Rhinolophus ferrumequinum: one gene and its partners. The protein of the gene in region 2 interacts with the protein of the main gene of each other region in a biochemical or structural test. Links are inferred from orthologs where the notes say so. Each region holds a gene or a part of one and is shown on either strand. Other genes may lie near its edges.

Region 1 (7,198 bases), on a different chromosome or scaffold from region 2:
AAGTCCCCCATGAAGAAGCCCTTTCACAAAGCCTGAGAAGTATAGGTTGCTTATTCTCAGCACAGAAATAAACCCAAGTGTTGGCTCTCATCCCTTTAAAACTTAGACACGGTAGGCACGTCTGCCCATTACACTAGGGCTGTCACATGCAGGTCATATTACATCTTTTCTTAAGTTATCTCTGAAGTGTGGCTGACTTTTACTCTCAGAAACTCACTGTGTTCTATTTCGCCCTTTGTAATTTGTGTTTAAAGATCACATTGCACCCAGGGTTACAACCTGACTCTGTCACTTTCTAGCCATGTGTGTGACCCTTAACAATTATTTTGTTTCCTTGACCTTTTGTTTCTTCCTCGAAGAATGACTTCTAGCATGGCTCATTGTGACAGTTAGATAAGCTAATATTGTTTCCTGCCTTCACAGGTCAGTAAACAACCAACAGATCATGATTAACCCTTTCCCATGATGTGGTTCTTATTCAGGCTCAGAGTAGGTTTCCAGCCTCCGCGGCCCTCGAGACAATCATTGTCTTCCTTCCTGCTTTTCTTTGCTGCAATGAATAACTACAGTTTTTCACATTTGAAGGCATCGCATTTCTCTCTGTCCGTGAAGCCCCACCCTGGATACGGTATTCGCAGACATCTGAGCAGCGTGCTTGTAATTGGAAGTCTGCCTGCCGCAGGAGTTGTATTTCTGTGTATTATATTCCTAGTCTGGATCCTTCCTCTTGTAAAACAAATTAATCATGTAACACCCGATTGGCTTGTTATTCACTCTGACCTCTGGACTTTTATCGTCACCACCCTCATACTTAGCAAGAAATCCTCCTGCAGTCTGTCAGGTTTGGTCCTGTGCCTTTTCCCAAAGGCCTTGCATATTTGTACAGTTTTATTAAGCTTTACGAAGTACTTTCCTACACTTTATCTCATTTGATTCTAAAAAATCCCTTTGTGATAGATGGCATTACCTTAATTTTAATGCTCAGAAAATGGAAACTCAGAGAAGTTAAGTGATGGTCAGAGTGAGAATTTGAATTGCCTCTATGACTGATGCTTTTTATTTTCTTCTATCTCTTTCTTCAGGTTCCCAGGATTTCTGAATTTGTATTCTACCAAGAATCTGTATCTACTTTTGCCAATAGGATTGTGGCTACTGATTTGCCTGTTGAATGATCCTGCTTACTCTTCCTCAGTCTTTCTCTCTGTTTCTCTTTCCATCCTGCCCCCTGGCCTGCCTACCCTTTCTCTAATGGATGGCCTGTGCATGCGGGCTGTAGATCACCTGTCTGCCTGGGCGGGAGAGGACACAGAGCCCTGGGGGTCGGGGGCACTCCCTGCCAGTAGCCAGGGCTCATTTTAAGGACCGGGTGGTTCAGAATGGAACCAAAGCCAAGCAAGAAGAATCCCTTACATTTTCTGGGTCATTAAGCAGCGATTAATTGGACGTACCCAACATTGAGATTCAGCCCCCAAAATAATATCCTGAGGACACAGGCTATTTCTATTTCCCCCCCTTCCTGCTGTTCATGCCCATTCTCCTCTGCGTTGTGTTAGGGCTGCCTGGGCCTCCCCAGCCCAGACACAGGAGATGGTCAATGCAAGCTCACTGAATTTCATTGCATTGTACTGCAGAGAAACAAGCTTTCTCCCAACTGGTTCATCTATCTTCTGCTTCTTGGGTGAATCACTGTCCCAACTCAGGGATGGGAACAGAAATTAGAGGCGGTAGCTTTGATCTTTGGACAGCATCTCCGCTCAGACCACCCCTTAAAACCACTTCTCAATTCTCAGTCACACTCATGCCTGTCATTCACTGGGATGTTTAAAAAAAAAAAAAAAAATCCTGGACTAAAATCTAGAGGAAATACTGGGAATCACCCCCTCATCCCCAGCTGGGAATTACCCTCCCACTAAACAGAGCTTTTAATGGATTTTCAACATACCATGTTTCCCAGAAAATAAGACCTAGCCAGACAATCAGCTCTAATGAATCTTTTGGAGCAAAAATTAATATAAGACCTGGTCTTATTTTACTATAAGACCCGGTATAATATAATATAATATAATATAATATAATATAATATAATATAATATAATATAATATAATATAATATAATATGTAATATAATGTAATGTAATATAATATAATACCGGATCTTACATTAATTTTTGCTCCAAAAGACGCATTTGAGCTGATTGTCTGGCTAGGTCTTATTTTCGGGGAAACACGGTAGCAATGTCTTTTTCAGATCCTGTTTTGATTAATTTAAATTATTAATGCAAGCCTGTTGCTGAACATCCTTGGGATATAAAATTCACTTTAAACTAACAAACTTGAATGAGTATTTCCTATGTGCAAGACAGTGTATGGTGAACTGTAAAAATGTCAGTCATTCACTCATAACTTTGGAATAGCATAGACTCCTTGTATTTTGAGCACTGGAAAGCTGGAGTCTGCTGTATTGTCTCTATTTGCCACTTTGTAACTATGCAGTACTTTATAGTTTAGAAAAATGTTACCACATCCATATTGATCCTTGCAAAAAAGACTAAGAACATGAGGGCAAGAACTTTCTCAAAGTCACACATCCATTCATTATGTAATTCTAGGTTGAGAATGCAGGTCTTTTGACTCAAACAACAGGAAACATTCCACCATGAAAATAGTTTTAGACCAAAAATAATCCTGTACTCATTTCTCTGTGAGGTTCCCTCAAACCCCCAAATGTCAATCACCCTTTTAGGAGTTTTCGAAACAACTGCTAAGCCTACATCAGAATCCGGCATAACTTGAGTCTCCTCACATAGAACCAGAATGGAGGATGGCATGTGGGATGTGACACGCACCCTTACTCTATGGGACCTTTCATAGTACCAACCAGCCACCAAGCCAGCAGCCCACCCACAGCCCAAACACCTGCTTCGCTCCGCTTACCTGCCTGGGTGGTCTCTGTCAGCTCAACTGAGTGAAAAGGGGGACTCTCCTCCTCTTTAAATATATGGAGGCCGTCACCAGCCTTGGCCTGTGGAGGAAAGGGCGGGAGGGAGGCTGAGGGGAGAGGGGGAATGAGACACGAGAAACACAACTGCTATCAGAGGCTGAAAATAGCCTGTGACCAAAGCCCTGAGTTTTGTTCCACCCCCCCCCACCCGCACCCCCACGCCAGCTGTGAGGCCCTTGGAGAACAAAATTGCTTGGGTTCTGTTTTAATTGCCAATCACCCATGGCAACAAGGGATCAATTTGTGGCGGGTAAATTTCTGACCAAGTGGTTGGCACAGGAACAAGAACAAAGAATTTTGTGTCTAAAATCATTTTTCCAGGCTGCTCCTCCCCTGACCTTTCTGGAAATCAACGTGAGGTACCTGAAAATGAATCATGAGCCCTATCTGGGAGCCCTCTGGAACTCCAAGCCACAGGTCAGTACACTCGTGAAGAGAACTCAGAGCTAAAAATAAGAGTGATGGGTGTCCGAAACGATACTTAGATAATCTCTTCAAAGAAGCTTGGGGAGAAAGGTCAGCTGATCATCAGGGTCCTGTCACTCCACAGCCTGCCATCTTATGAAGAACAGTTTTCTCTCAAAAGTTTTGAGTTACTTTGCTCATCATCTGTCTCCACTTAAGAATTTAACATAACAATGCATTGTATGTATGGCAAGTCTTGATAAGTCTCTGTGAACTCACATTGTCTTTGGAGGTCTAATTTCTCTTTGCCTGGTCTGTACATATTTTTGGCTTTGATCAAGCATCAAGGACTCATGAATTAGAGAATTTGATAGTTGACAAGAAGTTCGGAGATTTAATAGACTAATTCTTGTTAGTCTTTATGTTGTGGCTGATCTAACCGAGGCAGCTAACTTGTTCAAGGCCAGACAATAAGTCATTGGCAGATTCCACATTGAAATTTAGCCACATTGCAATTCAGGTCATTTGTCTCTCAGGTGAAGGTGCTTTCCACTAGGGTTGACCTGAACGCTGAGGTTGGGTGTAGGAAATACCTACATGAGGGGGATATAAAATCCAGCCTTGCAAATCAGCCGTATTAGCCCTTTAGTTACACGCACACAGGAAACAGTAAAAGAGTTGAGAAATGGAATATTTCACTATAAAGGAGATCATGGTAATTTCACAAATATAGACACAGCCCAACCTCCTATGAGATATCCTTGGCCTATGCGTTGCAAAAATGTATTATTGCAAAGGAAAATAGTGAATACTCTAGAATGTTAAATTTAGAAGGGACTTTAGAAGTCTCCTAGGATAGCAGCTTTCAAATTTCATGTTTTTTTTTTTTTAAAAATGATAATACTTTTTTCTATAGATATTAAATGGAACATCAATATATAAAGCAGATAAAAGGATTTCCATGCTTGAAATAAACAGGGGGTCTAGTAGTCACTCACATAGCCTTTGCCTGAACCCACAAAGTGGCTTCTAAAATACTTTTTAGGAACAAAATTTTAAAGTCATAAGTATGGCCCACCACTTTTATTTTATACATACAGATATTAAGGTCCACAGAAGAGATTTATTTGCTCAAGGGGAGATGCAATGTATACAACAGAATTATTTCTGGAGCCAGAAATCTGGGTTTGACTGATGTGTCTGACACTTAAAAAATGTTTTCTAGTTACACAAGTAACACAGGAATGCACTTTTACTGTGAAAGACTAAACAATAATGATGTATTTAAGGTAAAATGTACAAGTGCCCTCCCACAATCCTACTCTCCTTTCCAGAGTTAATAACTGACAATATTTTCGGTTTTACTAACTTGAGTCATCTTTTAAAAGGGGATTTTAGTTCATTCACATTTATTGTGATTTTGGATACATATGGACTTATTCCTTTCATCTTATTTTATGTTTTATTTTTATAACGGTTCTTTTTTCTTTTCTGGCCTTCTAATAATAGTTTACTTTGTGCTGTGTTTTTCTCTTATGAGTTAGAGAAGATTCTCTTCCTCTAGTTTATAAACTAATGCCACAATGAATATATGTTTTTATTAACATATAGATTTAATTGGTAGCCATTTTCTGTTTTCTTCCGTGAAATGAGAAACTTACAGAACCTCAGCACACTTTCACCATCATCACGTTGCCCTCTTCCTTCACCTTGACCTTGTAATTACACACCTGCCCACCACCCCCCATGTGTGGATCATCTGGGATTTTAGTTCCAGGTTGTAATTAGGTTTGCTCATTATGCATCTGTAGTTATTTAAACCTAATTATAAAGTTGACTGCTTTCTTCATTCAATTACTATTTCTTGTATGATTTTTGTATCTTACATTTTTAAGTGAGAGAGAGAAAGAGAGAGAATGGATTCTTAATGAATTAATTGAAAGAGTCTGCTGGAAATGAACAAAAATCTCACACCATTGGAAAGGTCTTCCTATTAATTTGCTAGACTGCCATAACAAACACCGTACACTGGGTGGCTTAAACAACAGAGATTTATTTTCGCACACTTTCGGAGGCTAGAAGTCCAAGACCCAAGTATCAGCAGGGCTGGTTTCTTCTGGGGCCTCTCTCTTTGGCTTGTAGATGTCCATGTTCTCCACACGCTTTCGTAAGGTCTTCCTCCTCTGGTATCTGTGTCCTAATCTCTTCTTCTAAGGACACTGGTCATGATGGATTATGGCCCATTCACATGACCTTATTTTGCTTTTAAAGGAACTGTCTTTACATACAGTCACATTGTGAGTTACTGGGGTTTAGGACTTCAGTATATGAATATGGGGGAAACACAATTCAGCCCATGACAGTTTTAATTTTGCCTAACACTTGAATGCTACTTCAACCGTCTCTAGAGTTGTACTGTCCAATATAGGAGCCAGGAGTCACATACAGTTATTTATAGTGAAATTATTTAAAATTAATGAAAATTAAAAATTCAGTTCCTTAGTCATAGCAGCCATATTCCAAATGCCCACACTTGGCTAGTGCCTGCGCACTGAACAGCATAGATATAGCATGTTTCCATTCTTACAGAAGTTCTCCTAGGACTGCTTTAGAGCTTTTTCCTCTGAAAAATGAAGCAAGTCCATTTTGGATTCTATGACGAACAGATAATATTAAGCATGTGTTGGATGCATAACAGGGTGCTCAGTCGATATCAGCTGAATGTTGACTCAGCTGTAAATAAATGACAGTATTAGAACTGGAACCCACCCTTTCTGTCCCATCGTTCCCCCAGAAGAACCATCAGTGAGTAAACTATTGATAAATATAGGGCATAAAGAAGCTCAGAAAAGAGAGGGAAGTGGGACAATGAGGGTAATCTTAAATCCATGCCTTAAAACACTACTTTTATACCCCAAATCAGAATAAACATTATTCTATTTAATCCTCATAAAAACTTGGTAAAGAAGGTATTATTTTACCCATTGTCCGAATGAGGAATGAAATAAATGCAACTCAGGAAGGCTAAGTAACCCCTCCCAGGCCACACAGTTGAGTCAACAATGAGTCAATGTCAATGTCAGAACTGGAATCCACTGCTTTCTCCTCTTCATGCCTCTAGAATAACTAAAAACTGGTAAGTCATTGGGAAACACAGATCACTCAGGTGACAGAGAAATTTAAACCAGATCAGACTCCAAACCCCTTCTACAACAGTGGTTCCCAAAATTGTTTGACCGTTAGTAAACATCTTTGAGCAATATACACATATACATACATAGGTATATATGTGTATTTTTAAAATAAATTATAAAAATTACTGTAATATTATACATTATGAAACATACGCAAGACTATATGCTACAAATATAAAAGTAAATATAATAAAAGTTCCAATTCATTTTCTCATTCTCCAGTATTGTTTCACATGCTTCCTCAGGCGCTGGTCCCCCTTCCACTTTGGAAATCAGTGCTATAAACGATGCCATACAAAGGGGGAATATGCCATAGAAGAACTCACAGGCCTGGGAATCTCAGCTTCCATCTGCTCATCCAAACCTCTCTGAAAAGAAGCATGACTGGACCTTAATGTATTCAATATCACTCACATTCTTAGAGTAACCAGGGCTTTTCACTATGTCTATGCACCCGTGGTCTGACATTTGCCCTTGGCTCTTATTTCAAAGAGAGAATTAATTTAAAACTATCACTCAGAGGTTGCTCCTGGTCATGTGTCTCATGCATGAAAGGCAGAGAAATGGGCAAATGCAATGCTTAAATGCATCAAGATGC
Region 2 (7,725 bases):
AGACAGTGACAGTGTCTGAGCCCACTGCCCTGCAGGGCTCCTCCTGGTAGTGTCATACGAGGAGTGGCGGGAGGCGAGGGGAAACCCCCGATTCCAGCTCCACCCTGCCCACTCGCCGAGGATGGCACGTGAGCGTGGTCGGGTCCTTGGAGGACCTGTTGGGACGTAAGACGCAGTGAGCAGGTCCGTGAGACAGAGTGCAGTGGACACTCAGCCGGCTTGCCTGTGTGTCCCACAGGGTTTCTGTGGGCAAGGCTTCCTCTGAAGGGTAGAAAGAGCAGGGGCCCAGCGCCCCACCAGTGCCAGCCCTTGGATGCCCGGCCCTGGGGAGCGTTTGGACTGGGGGGAGGACCCCCTCCCTCTACATCATCACGACACTCTTCTAGCACCCAGTCTTTATTCATTTTTTAAAAAAGGAAATCCAAATAAGTTAGCAAAAAACAAATTACAAAACAATTGCAAAACCACACGATGCTTAGTTAACAAAAGAAATCACCCCCAGACACCCCCCACCCCCACCTGTCCCTGGCAACTTCGAACAGGACACCTTGGTCAGATGGCAGCTTTACAAACAACACACAAAACAAAACAGAACATGAAAGCACGGGAAGCTTCCCAGTAGTCACTGCAGAAGCTTGGCCCCCAGGGACTTGGGAACAGGGGATTGTCCCTTTCTTCTCTCTCACTTGAGGGCAGGCCCAGCCCAGCCACTGGCATCAGGAAGAGATGGGGACAGGAGGTGTGCACAACTCGTCCAGGGCAGGACACTGACGTCGTCTCTGAGATCCTGGGGGAGTGGAGCTGGGGGCTGTGCTGTGATCAGCGCGCAGGTCCTGAGTTGGCCCCCGGCCAGGGGCGTACACGAGGGGCGCTCTGGTCCCCTGCCTTAGCTTCCTGGAAATGGGGTGCCGGTGCTCTGTGGAGTCAGCTAAGTGAGAACGTCCGTTCCCTCTCTGGGCGGAGGGTGAACCTTCTGTAGATGAGGGGGAAGGCTGGCATTTGGCAGCCCCACGGCTGGCTTCCTGGCATCAGGACAGCCGGGCTAAGGAGGCTCCTGCTGCCCACGTGGTGGCATCTGTGGCCAGCTGGGGGGCCCTCCCGGATGCCCGGCCTGGCAGACAATCTCAGTTGGGCATGGTTTCGTCTGGGAAGGCCACAGAGACGTCCTCCACCGTGATGCCATCCACAATGGAGGTGAGGGAGTGCAGGCTGTGAGCGTCTGTGGGGTCAGCTGTGAGCAGGTGGTCTGTAGGGAGAAGGTGGAGGCTGTTCCCCGGGCAGTGCAGGGGGTTCCAGGACCCAGAATGAGATGAGCAAGCGTAAGGAGCCCCACTGCCAGCCCTTGCCTTTCCCGGCCGTGTGCATAAGTACCATGCCCCCCCCCGGACACCCCTAGTGGGATTGGGACCTGCAAGCCGCTGTTCCAACTGTGTGGCAGGTGGAGGTGGGGCCAGGATGGTGTTTCCTGGGAGACGGACTGCCCTTGCAGGCCCAGCTGTGTGGCACTGACTCAGTGATTCCCAGGGAACCCTGGGGCAGGGACTGTCTCCTGCCCGTGGAGATGAGCCACCAGCCACCAGATGGGGAGCAGCAGGAGGCTGGGGCTGCTTTGGCCTGGTCCAGACTTCAGGGAGGCACAGGACCGCCCAGTCCACCATTTGGGGCCCTGGGCTCAGCAGGTCCCTGGAGAGGCCAAGGGAGGAAGACTGGAGCAGGGAACAAAGTAAGGGGACAGTTGTGCCTGGAGCCAGGCTCAAGGGTTGGAGCCAAGGTCAGCCGGGTCCCAACACACTTACCACCTGCGTTGGGGCCGAACTCCAGTGTGCTGCCCCACTCTGGACTGCAGGAGGCGCTGTGGGAGCTGCATTCACTGGGCACCTGCGAGGTGGCGAAGGCGAAGGTCAGGCCCCCTGTGCCTGGTGGTGTCTTCTGTCCAATCCCAGGGAGCTGAGACTCCTGGGCCACCCCCACCCCCACCTGGAGTCTTCACAAGCAGCTCCTTTCATGGCCCCGCCTGGCCACAGAGCCCCTGCTTCCAGGCCTGCCCTGGCCTCCGTCCTGGGTGGGGATTCTGCCCTCACTGGACACCAGCTCCAGGGGTCTGTGCTTCTGTCCCTGGGACAGGGTGGAGGGGGCAGAGTGTCTGGCCCCAGCAGAGCCTCATCTGAGCAGCTGCTGGGGCTCCAGGAGACACTGCTTCTCTCCGCTGAGCCCCACCCAGGGCGGGGCCCGGTGGGGGCAGAGCCACGCACTGCGTCCTCTGTGTGCCTGGCCTGGCCTTTGGGGCGCGTCCCCAGGCACTGGCACGAATTCTCACCTCCACCCCGGCTGGCTCTGGTCTTGCGCCTTCAGTTTTCTGCCACCCACCCCCACCACTGCCTCTCCTCCCGCTGCCTCTGTCTCCTCTGGAAAGGACACGGGGACACGGTGGGAGGTCAGCGGGACAGCCCAGTTCTGACAGTGCCTGCCTGGCACCTGCTCTCACAGCCGACCCAGCCTCCCCATGGGGTGCCCTCCCTGGGCGGGCGGTGGGAGCCACTTACCCCTGGTGGGGGCCCGCCGCCTCCCCGGTGGTAGCGCAGCTCACGCTCCTCCTGGCTGAGGGAGCTGAGCAGGGCCTGCAGGCGCTCGATGTACTGGATGGCGCCACGCAGGATCTCCACCTTGGGCAGCCGCTGGTTGGGGTTCAGGAGGGTGCTTCTCTTCAGAGCCTCAAAGGCCTCGTTCACCTTCTTGAGCCTGCGCTTCTCCCTCAGCGTGGCCGCCCGCCGCCGGTCCACGGACACCGACTTCCTCTTACACACCTTACACGCCCACGGCAGGCACTGGCCCGGGCAGTGATCCGGGGTCCCCAGACCCTTGTCTTCGAGGGGCCCTCGAGCCTCAGGGCTCAGGCTGAGCTCAGTCCGCTCATAGCACGGCGGCTCAAAGCCCTGGAGGTGGATGGGCAGGTAGTTTTCCCCGTCGTAGAAGTGGGGTTCCTGGTAGAAGTAGGGGGGTGTCTCGTACAGCTCCATGGGGTCGGAAGAGGCTTGTTCCTGCCACCAGCCCCCGAGCTCCTGCAGCCCCTCACGCCAACTGTTAGGTGCCATTTAAACCCTCCCCGCTGGCATGGAACCAGAGATAAATATAGCCAACGCCACGGAAACCCGAGCCCCTCTAAGCTGTTGCTGCACATCAAGAGTTCACAGCGGATTAGATGCAATTCCCTTCTCTCGGCCCGGCCCCCACCCCTCCTGGCCAGCCTGCCCGGGCCGGCCGGCCGGCTCCTGTGCACGGGCAGGGAGGCCGTCCGTTGTAACTTGATTAGTTTTCATTTCTCGGCAGCCCCCATGGGGCAGGGGAGGTGGGGGGAGACACACATTCTCCTCTCATCTGCTCCTTTCAATTACTCCTGGTGGGGGGCTGCCTGCTCTCTCTTTGTGGTCCCAAAGAAGCAGGGTGGGGGGCAAGGAAGGGGTGCGTTTAGGCTGCAAGGGGTCTTAGGTCAACCTGTCCGGCCCCCTGCCTCCTCACAGACTTGAACCAGACTCTGGCAGTCACATGACCCTCTGCCAAAGGGCAAGGCTGCTGCAAATGTGGGGCACGTGCGGGTCAGTGTCCAGGGGCAGGAGGGTCGACACTGGGTTTCCAACACAGCTTTGACATCGTATGTCTCTTAGGTCTCACGTGACTGGGGTTACATCGAGGCAAGAGGACATTTTTGGTCTTGTTCTTTCATGGGGGTTAGTGGCAGTTTTCTCTTTAATATGCCATCAGGGTCACGGAAGCCTACGCGTTGCCGCTGTCCCCACCGTGGCCAGGTCGAGATCTAGTCAGCCCTCTGCCACGTCCTTCGCATTCTGGATCCTCATCTGTCCTCCTATGTTGCCTCCTCGACTGTTTCCTGCCCCACCCCGATGCCAGGATTTTCCTGACTCCTCACTGTGCGTGGAGACAGAGCCCTTCAAACTCAGTAACTCTCCCCTCTTCTCGGCCACCGGGATTGGTTCTGCGTCTTCCTGTCGGAGACATCAGTTTGACACGCATCCTGCACGTCTCACACATCGGGTGGAGGAGGGACGACTTAATCTCTGGACTCCTCAGTCTGTGGTCACCTGTCAACAAAGGCCTTGGGGTCCAAGACGACTAGCGCTCTCCACGCAGTAGGCTGGCCTCAGGGACCAGCAGTGCACAAGGCTCGTCTGAGGGCCAAAAGGTGACAGGAGTGCCCAAGGCAGGGTCTCTGCCCTCCAGGACATTGCCATCTGGTAGACCTGCCAGTCATCTAGTTCTATCCAACCCCCTGCCCCAGTGGCCACTGTCCAGCTTCTGCTGACCTCATAGGGCAGCCCTTTCCATGGACGCACTGGCTGAAGGGAGGCCTTGTGGGTTTCAAAGTGCAATCTGCCTCTTCTGCCCTTTATCCTTTGGTCCCGATTTTTTTTCTAGGACCCCATGCACTAATTCTGACCCCTCCTCCGATGACAGATGAGACTGGTGCTGTCAGTGCCAAAGAGTGGCAAGGATAAGAGAGGAAGAGGAGCTGCGCAGGGGAGATGTCACAGGGGAGCTGAGGTCTGAAGGGAGCGAGAAGGGCCCGGCTTTCCTTCTTCTCATTGTCTATGGGGAGGAGCCAGGAAAATGCTGGTCCTTTTAGGGTGGGGGGGAGGAGACACAGCTGGACACTAAACGTGCTGAGGGGGGCAGTGAGGTCTTCATTTGGCCTCATGAGTGTGATAAAAACCACAGCTCACAACACGGGAGCTGTGGGTTCTAAAGCTTGGTTGGACCCTGATCATCTGGACTTAAGATCCCCCCCAAAAAAGACAAGAGAGAAAGAAAAGTTTGCCTCAGTTTACACCCTAATCCTGTGAGCCCTGAGATAAAAGTGATGTTGAAGTTACTATGGGAACCCAGAAATTGCATCGTTTTGTTCTTTGGGGACCCAATCTGCCTTACCTCCAAACGGCATGTCCACATCCTCTAGAAGTGGGGGCAGGAGAACCAGGCTTGTTCCATGAGGATTTTCAGGATCTTATCAGCTAGATGGCGAGCCTGGACGCAAACGTGAACATTAAGTCACCATTCTACAGAGAGTCATTCGAAGTCAGCAGCAAACATGGGAGTTGTGATCAGCTGCAAATGAGTGGGTTCATCAGACAGGTGTGTCAGGGGCTTGTGGAGAGTCAGACGCTCTGGAGGTCGGGCTGTGCAGAAGGTGCACTGGGCTGGATCCAGGGAAGCCTGGGGCCTGGACGAGAGGGGGAGCAAGGGGAAGGGGGCATTGGGTCCCAGGTATGTAGGGATTCAGGGCTCAGGATGAGCCTGCAAAGACAGGAGGAGGCCTGTGGGCCATGGGGGGACGTGACAGCTGAGGCAAGGAGGCCACACAGAGGACCATGGCTGCATTTCCAGAGCCAGACGCTGAGTCTGAACCTACTTGGGCAGCAGGAGGGTTATACCAGGAGAGGACACGCATTTCAGCTGGCAAAGGGGTGGTATGGTGGTGTGGGGGGTGTGAGGTGTGTGGTGTGAGGTGTGTGGTCTGTGTGGTGTATGGTATGAGGTGTGCAAGGTATGTGAGGTATATGGTGTAAAGTGTGGTTTGTGTGGTGTGAGGTGTGAAGTGTGGTGTGGTGTGAGGTGTGTAGTGTGTGGTATAAGGTGTGGTGTGAGGTGTGTGAGGTGTGAGGTGTGGTATGTGGTGTGGTGTGAGGTGTGGTGTGTGGTGTGAGGTGTGGTATGGTGTGTGGTGTGAGGTGTGGTGTGAAGTGTGAGGTGTGTGAGGTGTGAGGTGTGTGGTGTGAGGTGTGGTGTGGTGTGAGGTGTGGTGTGGTGTGGTGTGTGGTGTGAAGTGTGGTGTGGTGTGTGGTGTCAGGTTGTGGTGTGAAGTGTGTGGTTGTGGTGTGAGGTGTGGTGTGTGTTGTGGTGTGTGGTGTAAGGTATGAGGTGTGGTGTGAGGTGTGAGGTGTAGTGTGAGGTGCGAGGTGTGGTGTGAGGTGTGTGGTGTGTATGGTCTGTGTGTCGATTCATTCCCTCTTTTACCCTAGAAGCATGTATTGCTATGAGCATGGCTGCGGGTTGGTGTCCTGAGTAAGGTGTGCTCTTCCGTGTGCAGTGCTGGCTGTGAGCAGGGAAGATGCACAGGGCGGCTCCCCCAGGTGCTGGAAGAGGAGGCGGGGAGGGCACTGGTGTGCCCCAGGGACACCACCATCCCCGGAGCCCTCTGCAGGCCCTGGGCCCCCACCAGCCTGGGCACAGCCCCTGCCTCAGCTCAGGTGAGCGAGGCCTTCTGTCTGTGTGACCTTTGTCTCTGACCAAACAAGATTGTGGGCTGGAGGTGAGGGTGACCTTGTGTGTCGGGGTTTCAGTGAAACCTTGTCTGGCCAAGTGTTTGTTTCCATCTGTCTGAGTAAGTGACTTGGGGACCATGTCAAGGTCTAGCTCTGGGGCACAGGCCCTCCCAGGACTGAGGAGATAGGGCAGCCCAGGTGTCTCTGACCTCAAAACCCTGATGTGGGGATGTCCCTTCAGCCACTTTGTTCCTCTCTCCGAGCCGAGCTGTGGAGAAGCGGCACCTGGGGGCCTGGCTCTGGTCCCCGTGCACACTGCACCCCCCACAGGCTGCCGTCTGATGGATGGGGACACATTGGTGCCGCACAGAGCGGCCTTTGTGCTCCCAGCAGCGGCGATCCATCAGCTCTAACCTGACAGCAGGGCGTCAAGTCCTAATCCCCACCCCACTGGCCTGGCACACGGCCGGCCCCTGAAGCCGCCCCGGCCGTCCTGCTCCCTCCGATGGAGGCCCCCCCACCGCTGGGGCCCCTGGCCGCGCGCCCCCAGCCCGTGTGCGCAGGCCGCTCTCACGGGCACGCGGTCCTCCCAGTGCCGGGCCCACACCTGCGCCCCGCTCCCCCTGCTCCCTCCGTGCACACACACCCTCTGACTCCCTGCACCTTTCGCCCCGCTGACCTCACAGCGGGGCTGACCTGGGCTGCCAGGTGCCGGCGCTCACCGCAAAGCGTTTCGCATCCCAAAGCGAAGGGGCCGAGCGGGCGGGAGCCTCGGGCCCCTCCGCGCCCCACGGCCACTCCGCGGGGCTGCGCTCCGGCTGCAGCGTGTGCGTCCCCGCGCCCCGCGCGTCAACATGGCCGACAGCAGCGGTCCCGGGGCGGCGGGCGCCGTGCAGCCCGGGGAGAACTGGCCGCAGAGCCAGCCGGGCGGGACGGCAGCCCGAGGGTCAGCTGGCCCACGTCTTCTTGGGAAACTGAGGCCCAGACCAGGGAAGTGACGAGGCCCGGGCGGCGGGGCCCTAGTGCCGGAGCCTGAGGGCGTTGGCTCGCGGTCGCCGGAGCGCAGGCCTCAGGCTGAGTCCCGCCGCCTCCTGGGCCTCGCGCGCGGCCGGCGGTGAAGGAGGTCCTGCAGGTGAGCACGTGCTCGGCAGGTGGGCCGCAGGTGACATCGGAGAAGTAGTAACGGGGACGTGAAGGTGGAGGGTGAGAGGCAGCCGGCTGGGGTGGCGCGAGCCTGAGGCCCTGAGGGCCGGGGGTCGGCCGGGCGGCGCGGGGCGGGGGGGCCGGGCCTCGGGAGACCCCACGTTGTTCGCATGGAGGACAGAGCAGCCGATAGGCCCCGCAGGTGCGCGTCCGGGCCGCTGGGACTCTGGAGCTCAGAGCCAGGCTCGGGCCGGGGCCTGGGGAAGGTGCGGCCTGGAGGCGAGAAGGAAGGGCCCCTTGGGGCGTG
Region 3 (7,602 bases), on a different chromosome or scaffold from region 2:
TTATTATTTCATTATCTCATGTAATCGCCACAACTACTCTGTTAGCCAGATGTTACTGTTCTCATTTCATAGATTAGGAAGCAGGCCCAGGGAGGCCAGGTAGTTTCCCCAAGGTCACACAGCAAGGAACTGAGCCACTTACTTGATATACAGTGTGTTACATCCTTCAGGTGTGTTGGACTGGAAAAAAAAAGAAATTTTTCTAGAGCAGTGTTTTTCAAACTGTGGGTTGCAACCAGCGTTTTAAAAACATGAAACGTGATAGAAACTATCAGAGTATATTGTATACCTTAAGGGTAAGTATTCTTTTACAAAATGTTGGTAACATTTGATACATGTTTGTGTATACTGGGTTACATAGTAGTCAGCGATTGGGGTGGTGATCCTGCATAATAACCCCCAAATCTCAGTCACTGACAACAATTTATTTTTCTCCCTCATGGATCTGCAGATTGGTGAGGTTCAGCTGATCTTGGCTGGACCTCGCTGAGTTCAGCTGGGGTTGGCTCCAGGCTGTAGGACTAGTTTGGGTCTATTCTACTGGTCTCAGCGCATACTCTCGTGCGGGGGAAGCAGCACAAGAGGTCAAGGCAAATCACACAGGCACATTTAAAACCACAAGTCTGTTAACATTTTATTGGCCAAAGCATGTCACATGTCAAAACGCAGCAACAGCAGTAGTAGGTTCTGCAAAGTCACATGGCAAAGGGTGTGGCTGTTTAATTCCAACACTGAGTGTGAAGAATTGGGAGCAAAAATCGAATTCACCACAGGTTGCGATGTAACAATGATTTCTTAACATGGGTTGCACTTGGAAGAACTGGGGAGGCACTGCTCTAGGTCATTAATCCCTGATCCTTTTCTCACTCGTGGTCTTGCTTGATCACACTGCAGCAGCCAACATTGCTGGCCACAGCTGCCTTTGCAGACTCCCCTCTCTTGACTTGGATGATGGTATGTATGCCGTGTTCCCCTCCTTTGACCAGGCCAGCCCCAGCTGAGGCTTCCTTCTTCTGCGTGCCCCAGAGATTGTTGTTCTCTTGAATTCTGTCCTTGGCCTTCCTCTCTCTACAGTCTCCCCTGCAGGACTCTCATCTCTCCTCACGTGGCTTTAATTGGCCCTGTAGTGTGGATAGTTCCTTCCCAAAGTATTAGCTGCAGTTCCAGCCTCCGCCTCAAGCTCCAGACACACACTCCCCATTTCCTACAGGACATTTTCCTCTGTTTGTTGCCGTAGGCCCAAATTGAATTTCTCTCTCTCTCTCAAACCTGTTCCTCTAGCCAAGTTCCCTCTTTCCAGGAATGGTACCAGTGTTTGGAGGATAGTCACCCTTACTCAAAATCTCAGTCCATCATGAGTCTTCTCTGTGGATCCCGCTCCCCATCCAGTCCGTCACCAAGACCCATGTATTGGACCTCTGCCCTGTTTATAGCTTTGCTTTAAGAGTCAAAAAATGTATGAAAGTAATACTGATTATGGAAGAAGTCAAATGGTACAGATTTCTATCTAAGCAAAGAACACACTCCTCTAGTCCCCAAACTCCTCTCCAGTGGCTGCTTACCACTATTAGTGTTCAGAGCATGGCTTTCCAGATTTTTCCTAGGCACACTGATGCATGACCCCTTTTCTCTTTTTTTTAAAAAGTTTATTGGGATGACAATTGTTCATGACCCCTTTTCCTTTCCATTCCCTGTAATGCTGCTATCACAGTCGAGAGCTCTTCTATGTCAAGTTAAGAATAACTGCATAAAGGTTAACTACAAATGAAAATAGTTTTAGAGTGTTGGTAATTTCTTTATAGTCATTTTTAAAAGCAATCCATAGTTTTTGTTGCGATATTATTTAGGTGATAACAATCAGGAGAAGGAAATGAAGGTCAGGGTGGGATCTGGCTGGAATTCCGCTGCCCTTCTGGAGGTAGTGCATGATCTGGGGTGGATGTGAGCTCCCATCTTCCAGGGGACGACTGTGATTTAGGCCTTATCTGAGAAGCACCAAACTCACATTCCAGAGAGGCCAGGCAGGGGACTTATCTGAGCTCAATGGGCTGTAGGGAATCTAGTGAACTTGAGAGCAGATGCCTCTTCTATGGCCACCATTCACCTCAGCGCTAGGCTGTCGTTCTGTGGGTACATAGGCCTGGAGTGGCTAAAAATTCCAATTTTTTGAGAGAGACTGGATATTCAGATTTTTATGTAAAATCTGATTTAAAGATATTATACGGTCCAAACAAAACACATCGATGAACCAGTGTCTGATTTTGACTTCATCCACATCCAACAGTTTCGGCTCTGGAACCACAGTAATCCAATATAGTGTGGGTATAGGTCCCCTCCCCACCCCTACTCCCCAGTGGTGACAAAGAGCTGTGAAGATGATGCCATCCCAAGCAGGTGAAGGTGCTGTGGCACTAACACTGGTGTGCAATGGCCCAAGGGTTGGGTGAAATCAGAGAGAGAGCAGCCTATTTGAAGGGAAGCTGAGAACTGTTCTCTACCCTGTAGATGCAGCAGGCAGCAGTTGTCCCCTGGGGTGCCACTGCTGAGGGGGCCTTTAAGCTAGGGGTCTCACACATAAAAGTCTTTAGAAGCCAGGCAGGAATGGACCCCAGGGCTGTGGTTGTAAGACTGTGCTGCTCAGACAAATCACGGTCCCAAGTACCAACTGTGGCCCCCGAAGCCCTTCTGGAACCTATTTATCTATTTGACCTGTCCTTTCTCTTGGGCTAACACATTCCATATGTTTAACTACCTGTTGTGTGGACTAAATTAGGAAAAGAAAAAAACTCTTTAAAACTGTTGGAAAATGGGGAAGAGGAAGGCTCTTAATTCCTGTATTTTGATGAATAAGCCCATTTTTTAATATAGGTGTGTATATTATATATATATATATATTATATACACACACATATCACAAATCACTTGAACATACTTTATTTCAGTATTTCTCAGTCTTTGGATTGTGACTCACAGTAAGATAGGCAGTTGACATTGCCATCCAGTACACAAATATGTAGAACCATGTGAAATTTACACTAACCCACCCTTTTTACCTATAAAATGGAAGTTTTATATCGTTTACCTGGAAATAATTCAAACAATTTTTATGCAACAATATTTACGCTTGCTTTTTGTGATACCCATTAATTTATTTTAAATGCCGGTTGCAGTACACTAAATTGATTTCACTACCACTTCATCTTCCCAACAATTTTTAAGGTAGGAATCATTACCCTCTCCCATCCTATTAAACACCAGAGTTTGTTTATCCCATGAATGAGGTGATTGTCCCAGGTAGCTCCTATTAACTATTCACTGACCACTTACATACTCCGCGCTTTAGTCTGTATCTCATTTAATCTGCCTTAAGAATCCCGTGGGATAGGTACCAACAATGAGGAACATGGCGTTTGGAGAGCTCAACACTTATTTCCAGCACAGGGCTAGGAAGAAGCAGATTCCAGATTTGAATAATTTCTGTAAGAGCACAGCCCAAGCTATTTTCACAGACTTGGAGCTCAGATCCAGACCTAGACCCTGAACCTGGCCTTTTCGGCACCCTAGTTTTTTTTATCCTGTGGGCTTTCCTTGGCTTTCCAGAGAAGGGCGCGCGCGCGCATGTTTGCGTTTGCTTGCTTAAACTTTCTCCTCGGCTACACTTTTTCCCAGGCCTTTGCACCGACTGAAGGGTGGGCTTTCTCCCTGGAACCACCCCCTCCCCCAGCCCAGCGCGCAGCTGGAAGTCTTCACTGATCTCCAGCTCTTCTCCCTTCCCCCAACTGGGACGCGGAGGCCGACTGTCTCTCCGGTCTTTTCCAGATGTACGTCTGCCAGAGACCTACCCAGTATAGAGGATGATGAATGAGGACCGGGGAGCCGGCCTGGTGGGAAAGTGTCGCCTTTAAAAGAGAGGGAAAGGGAAAGGAAGTCGGGGGGGAGGGGAAGGGTTGCAGCCGAGTGGCGGGGGCGCGACGAGTCTGGACATCAGGGACCCAAGCCCCCGCTACTTCCGCGAGTAACTTTGCCTCCCTCAGGAAGGAGTGGGTGAGTGCTCCAATCCCCGCACTCCTTTGGAATTTGGGCTGTATTATATCATTTACTGCCGTCCGCACATTCCACTCAGGAACTACCCCAGTGTTTGCTTCCAGCCCTTCCAAAGCCCAGTTCCCAGTGCGGCTCCCTCTTCTCCGCAAGATTGCGCTCCAGTCTCCTCCTAGGCTTCCTCTCCGCAGGTCCCTCCCAATTCTCTCTGGTAGGGGGGCGGAGTCGTACCTCCTCTCCTGTTCCTTTAAGAGGCGTCGGCTCCTCCCCTTTCGGAGTCGCCCGCTGACGCGGGATGACTGCAACGAGTTCGGTATGTCTATGCAAATAGGCGCCCCCTATGGGCCAATAGGGAGCGGAGTTGCCGGAACAGCGGACCAATGGGGCGGGAACGCAGGGGCTCACCATATAAGGAGCGGCCTCGCCATAAAAGGAAACATTGTATCTCTTTATATGGGGGGAAGGGTCGGGGGATCCCTCGCCGCCTGCGCGTGGTCCCGGCCCCCTCCACCCGCCGTCCCCGCCGCGGCCAGCAGCCTCTGCCCCCGGGGGGACGCTGACGGCCGCCGGGCGCGCCGCCGTAGCATACGGACAGGGGGCGCTCCGCGCAGCCTGGGGCAACCCGGGCCACAGGGGCAGGAAAGTGAGGGCCCAGGTCGGCCGGGGCGTGCAGGGGCCCCGGGTTCGCAGCGGCGGCGGCGGCAGCGATAGCGGCACTAGCAGCAGCGGGAGCGCCGGGTTGAGCCGGGAAGCCGATGGCGGCGGCGGCGGCGGCTCCGATTCCTCGCTGACTGCCCGTCCGCCCTCCTGCATTGAGCGCCATGTTACCGAGCCAAGCTGGGGCCGCGGCGGCGCTGGGCCGGGGCTCGGCCTTGGGGGGCAGCCTGAATCGGACCCCGACGGGGCGGCCCGCTGGTGGTGGCGGTGGCGGCGGCGGGACTCGCGGGGCTAACGGGGGCCGGGTCCCCGGGAACGGCGCGGGGCTCGGGCCCGGTCGCTTCGAGCGGGAGGCTGCAGTAGCAGCGACAACCACCCCGGCGCCCACCGCGGGGGCCCTCTACAGCGGCAGCGAGGGCGACTCGGAGTCGGGCGAGGAGGAGGAGCTGGGCGCGGAGCGGCGCGGCCTGAAGCGAAGCCTGGGCGACATGGAGATCGGCATGGTGGTCAGTGGGCCCGAGGCGGCGGCAGCAGCCACCGGGGGCTATGGGCCGGTGAGCGGCGCGGTGAGCGGGGCCAAGCCGGGTAAGAAGACTCGCGGCCGCGTGAAGATCAAGATGGAGTTCATCGACAACAAGCTGCGGCGCTACACGACCTTCAGCAAGAGGAAGACGGGCATCATGAAGAAGGTACCGGACCGGGAGTCTGGCGGACCGTGGGGTACCGGGAGGGTGGGGACTCGCAGGGGGAACTGGAGAGGAAGGCAGAGCCGAAGCGGAGGTGAGAGGCGGCGAGTCCGCAGGAGGTGTGTGGGAGGGGATGACTGTTACCCGGGTAGGGTGAAAGGGGAGGGGCCGCCAGGGAAATGTGGGGAGAGGGGAGATGCTGCTAACGTCCGGAAAAGAGGGTAAAGGCGCCAAGGTGGGAGTGACGGGGCCGAGAGAGGAACAGAGCCCTTGCAGAGTGTGAAGGGGTGAGGAAAGGTAATGAGACTGCGAGGCTGCCCCGGGGGTGCTTAACGAAACCCCTCGGTCAGTAGGTCCAGTGGGCTCTGGTGTTCTGGGAAGGGCGCTGGAAAAGCTGGTAGCAGAAGAAAAGGTATGGAGGTGAGGAGGCTGGAGCAGTATAACAACAATGAGCGAGCATGTGTGGGAGGAAGGTGGGCACTACTGAAGTAGTGCTGGCTGGAAGGACAGGAGGGCTGATGACGGAATGGGGCTCAAGAGCCCCAGGTAAGGGAGCAGGGCAGGATAACTGATGGTGCCCTGAGCAGCAGGTACCAAACCAAGTCCTGCTATGGCCATGCATCTTCCATGCATCCCCTGGAAGCCCGCACACTCCCTGCAGGACAGGCTTCAGAATCATCTGTCTTTCGGACAAGTGGCATTTCCAGCCCTAGGGAGAATTGGTGCATGGAGTTTCGTGGGAAGGCAGGGAGTTTGCTGAGGTATGTAGAGGTATCCTCCTCTTATATAGCCGATTATCCAGTGGAAAGGGGTGAGGAAAAGAGTTGTCTTAGGGTGTATAAGATGTGGGAAGGCATGGAAGCAAAGGAACTGGGAAACAAGAAGCTAGAACCCTGGGAACATTGGCTGGTGTTTATCTGTCCCATACAGAAATCAGAGCTGCTTCCAAGGTGGGTTGTGGAACTTTGTTGGGAATGAGGATGCCATCTATGGGGTCCCCTTCCTGAGTTCATGGCAGGGCAGTAGCTGCAAATCTAGCCCCCATCTCCCATCACTGCAGACATTGTTGTATCAAGACAAAGGAAGAAAAAAAAAGGGTAGCATACTATGATAGGGCAGAAGGACAAAATGGCAACAGGTTAGCACCTATGCAGTTTATGGGAAGAAACGGGGCATTTTAGAGCTTGGGTGGCCCCTTATCCCTAATGTCTTATATGATTTCCGGTATAGGAGTGAGTTCATACTGGTCCCGCTGACAGTGAGGAGGGGGTGGAAACCATCTGTCTGTGAGGGCACCAAGTTGTAGTGAGAAGCAGCTACCTGGGTCTCTGTGTCTCCTGAGGTTAGATGTCACCAGGGGGCTGTGATTGTTTGCTTGCGGTATCTGCAGGAGCTGCTCCAAAACATGGGGTTTTTCTGCTTTCCATCTCACTTTCAGATATCCTGATAGGACCCCCTTAGAATCACTGGAGAGGACGGTCTTATGGGAGTGGGGGCTTGAAATCACTGTGTATTTCCTCTCCTATTTCCCAAGGAAGGTAGAGGTGAAGAGTTTTGCTGACCTACCCGTCTCCTCCCCCTACCCCCAGGCCTATGAGCTGTCCACGCTGACAGGGACACAGGTGCTGTTGCTGGTGGCCAGTGAGACAGGCCATGTGTATACCTTTGCCACCCGCAAACTGCAGCCCATGATCACCAGTGAGACTGGCAAGGCCCTGATTCAGACCTGCCTCAACTCGCCAGACTCTCCACCCCGCTCAGACCCCACCACAGACCAGAGAATGAGTGCCACGGGCTTTGAAGAGACAGACCTCACCTACCAGGTGTCGGAGTCCGACAGCAGTGGGGAGACCAAGGTGTGTTTGCGTCCCCTATCAGGGGAAGGAAGGGGAGGGACTGGACTGGCAGAGGGAAGGGGAGGGGGGTCTCTCTCTCTCTCCCTCACCAAGGACAGGTGCTAAGTGCCCACTGATGTGGAGTGGAGCCCGGTTAGTACCCCTCATCCTAGGGGACAGGTGTCCATCCTCGCTATCCTGACAGGAGGCTGGCCCCCTAGATAAGCGGGCGGCCTCCGTGCCCATATAAGGCCGGCTCCGGCTCCACGCCGGCCTCCCGCCTGCAGCCCGCCTGCCTGGCAGGGCCCTTGCATTCCTCCCGCCAGCTGTCTCCCCGCTGGGGGCGGGGGCGTAGCTTAGCCCTACCCTCCCGGCAGGCCGGG

What was found.
Region 1: the proteins of MYOG (region 2) and CSRP3 form a complex in vitro, tested with the Homo sapiens proteins (2 studies listed by BioGRID and IntAct, with this or other methods). The link is inferred for Rhinolophus ferrumequinum from reciprocal best matches to the Homo sapiens genes MYOG and CSRP3.
Region 3: the proteins of MYOG (region 2) and SRF form a complex in vitro, tested with the Homo sapiens proteins (2 studies listed by BioGRID and IntAct). The link is inferred for Rhinolophus ferrumequinum from reciprocal best matches to the Homo sapiens genes MYOG and SRF.

Annotation. Positions count from the first base shown.
Region 1 is NC_046294.1:35,019,514-35,026,711, reverse strand, and holds the start of CSRP3 (cysteine and glycine-rich protein 3), read right to left. Parts: upstream 3,052-7,198; 5' UTR 2,935-3,051; intron 1-2,934. UniProt on the Homo sapiens protein: Positive regulator of myogenesis. Acts as a cofactor for myogenic bHLH transcription factors such as MYOD1, and probably MYOG and MYF6.
Region 2 is NC_046310.1:75,058-82,782, reverse strand, and holds MYOG (myogenin), read right to left. Parts: upstream 3,093-7,725; coding exon 2,544-3,092; intron 1,879-2,543; coding exon 1,797-1,878; intron 1,247-1,796; coding exon 1,125-1,246; 3' UTR 534-1,124; downstream 1-533. Other genes in the region: PPFIA4 (liprin-alpha-4), read left to right, coding at 3,760-3,815. UniProt on the Homo sapiens protein: Acts as a transcriptional activator that promotes transcription of muscle-specific target genes and plays a role in muscle differentiation, cell cycle exit and muscle atrophy.
Region 3 is NC_046286.1:12,582,027-12,589,628, forward strand, and holds the start of SRF (serum response factor), read left to right. Parts: upstream 1-4,524; 5' UTR 4,525-4,862; coding exon 4,863-5,387; intron 5,388-6,973; coding exon 6,974-7,240; intron 7,241-7,602. UniProt on the Homo sapiens protein: SRF is a transcription factor that binds to the serum response element (SRE), a short sequence of dyad symmetry located 300 bp to the 5' of the site of transcription initiation of some genes (such as FOS).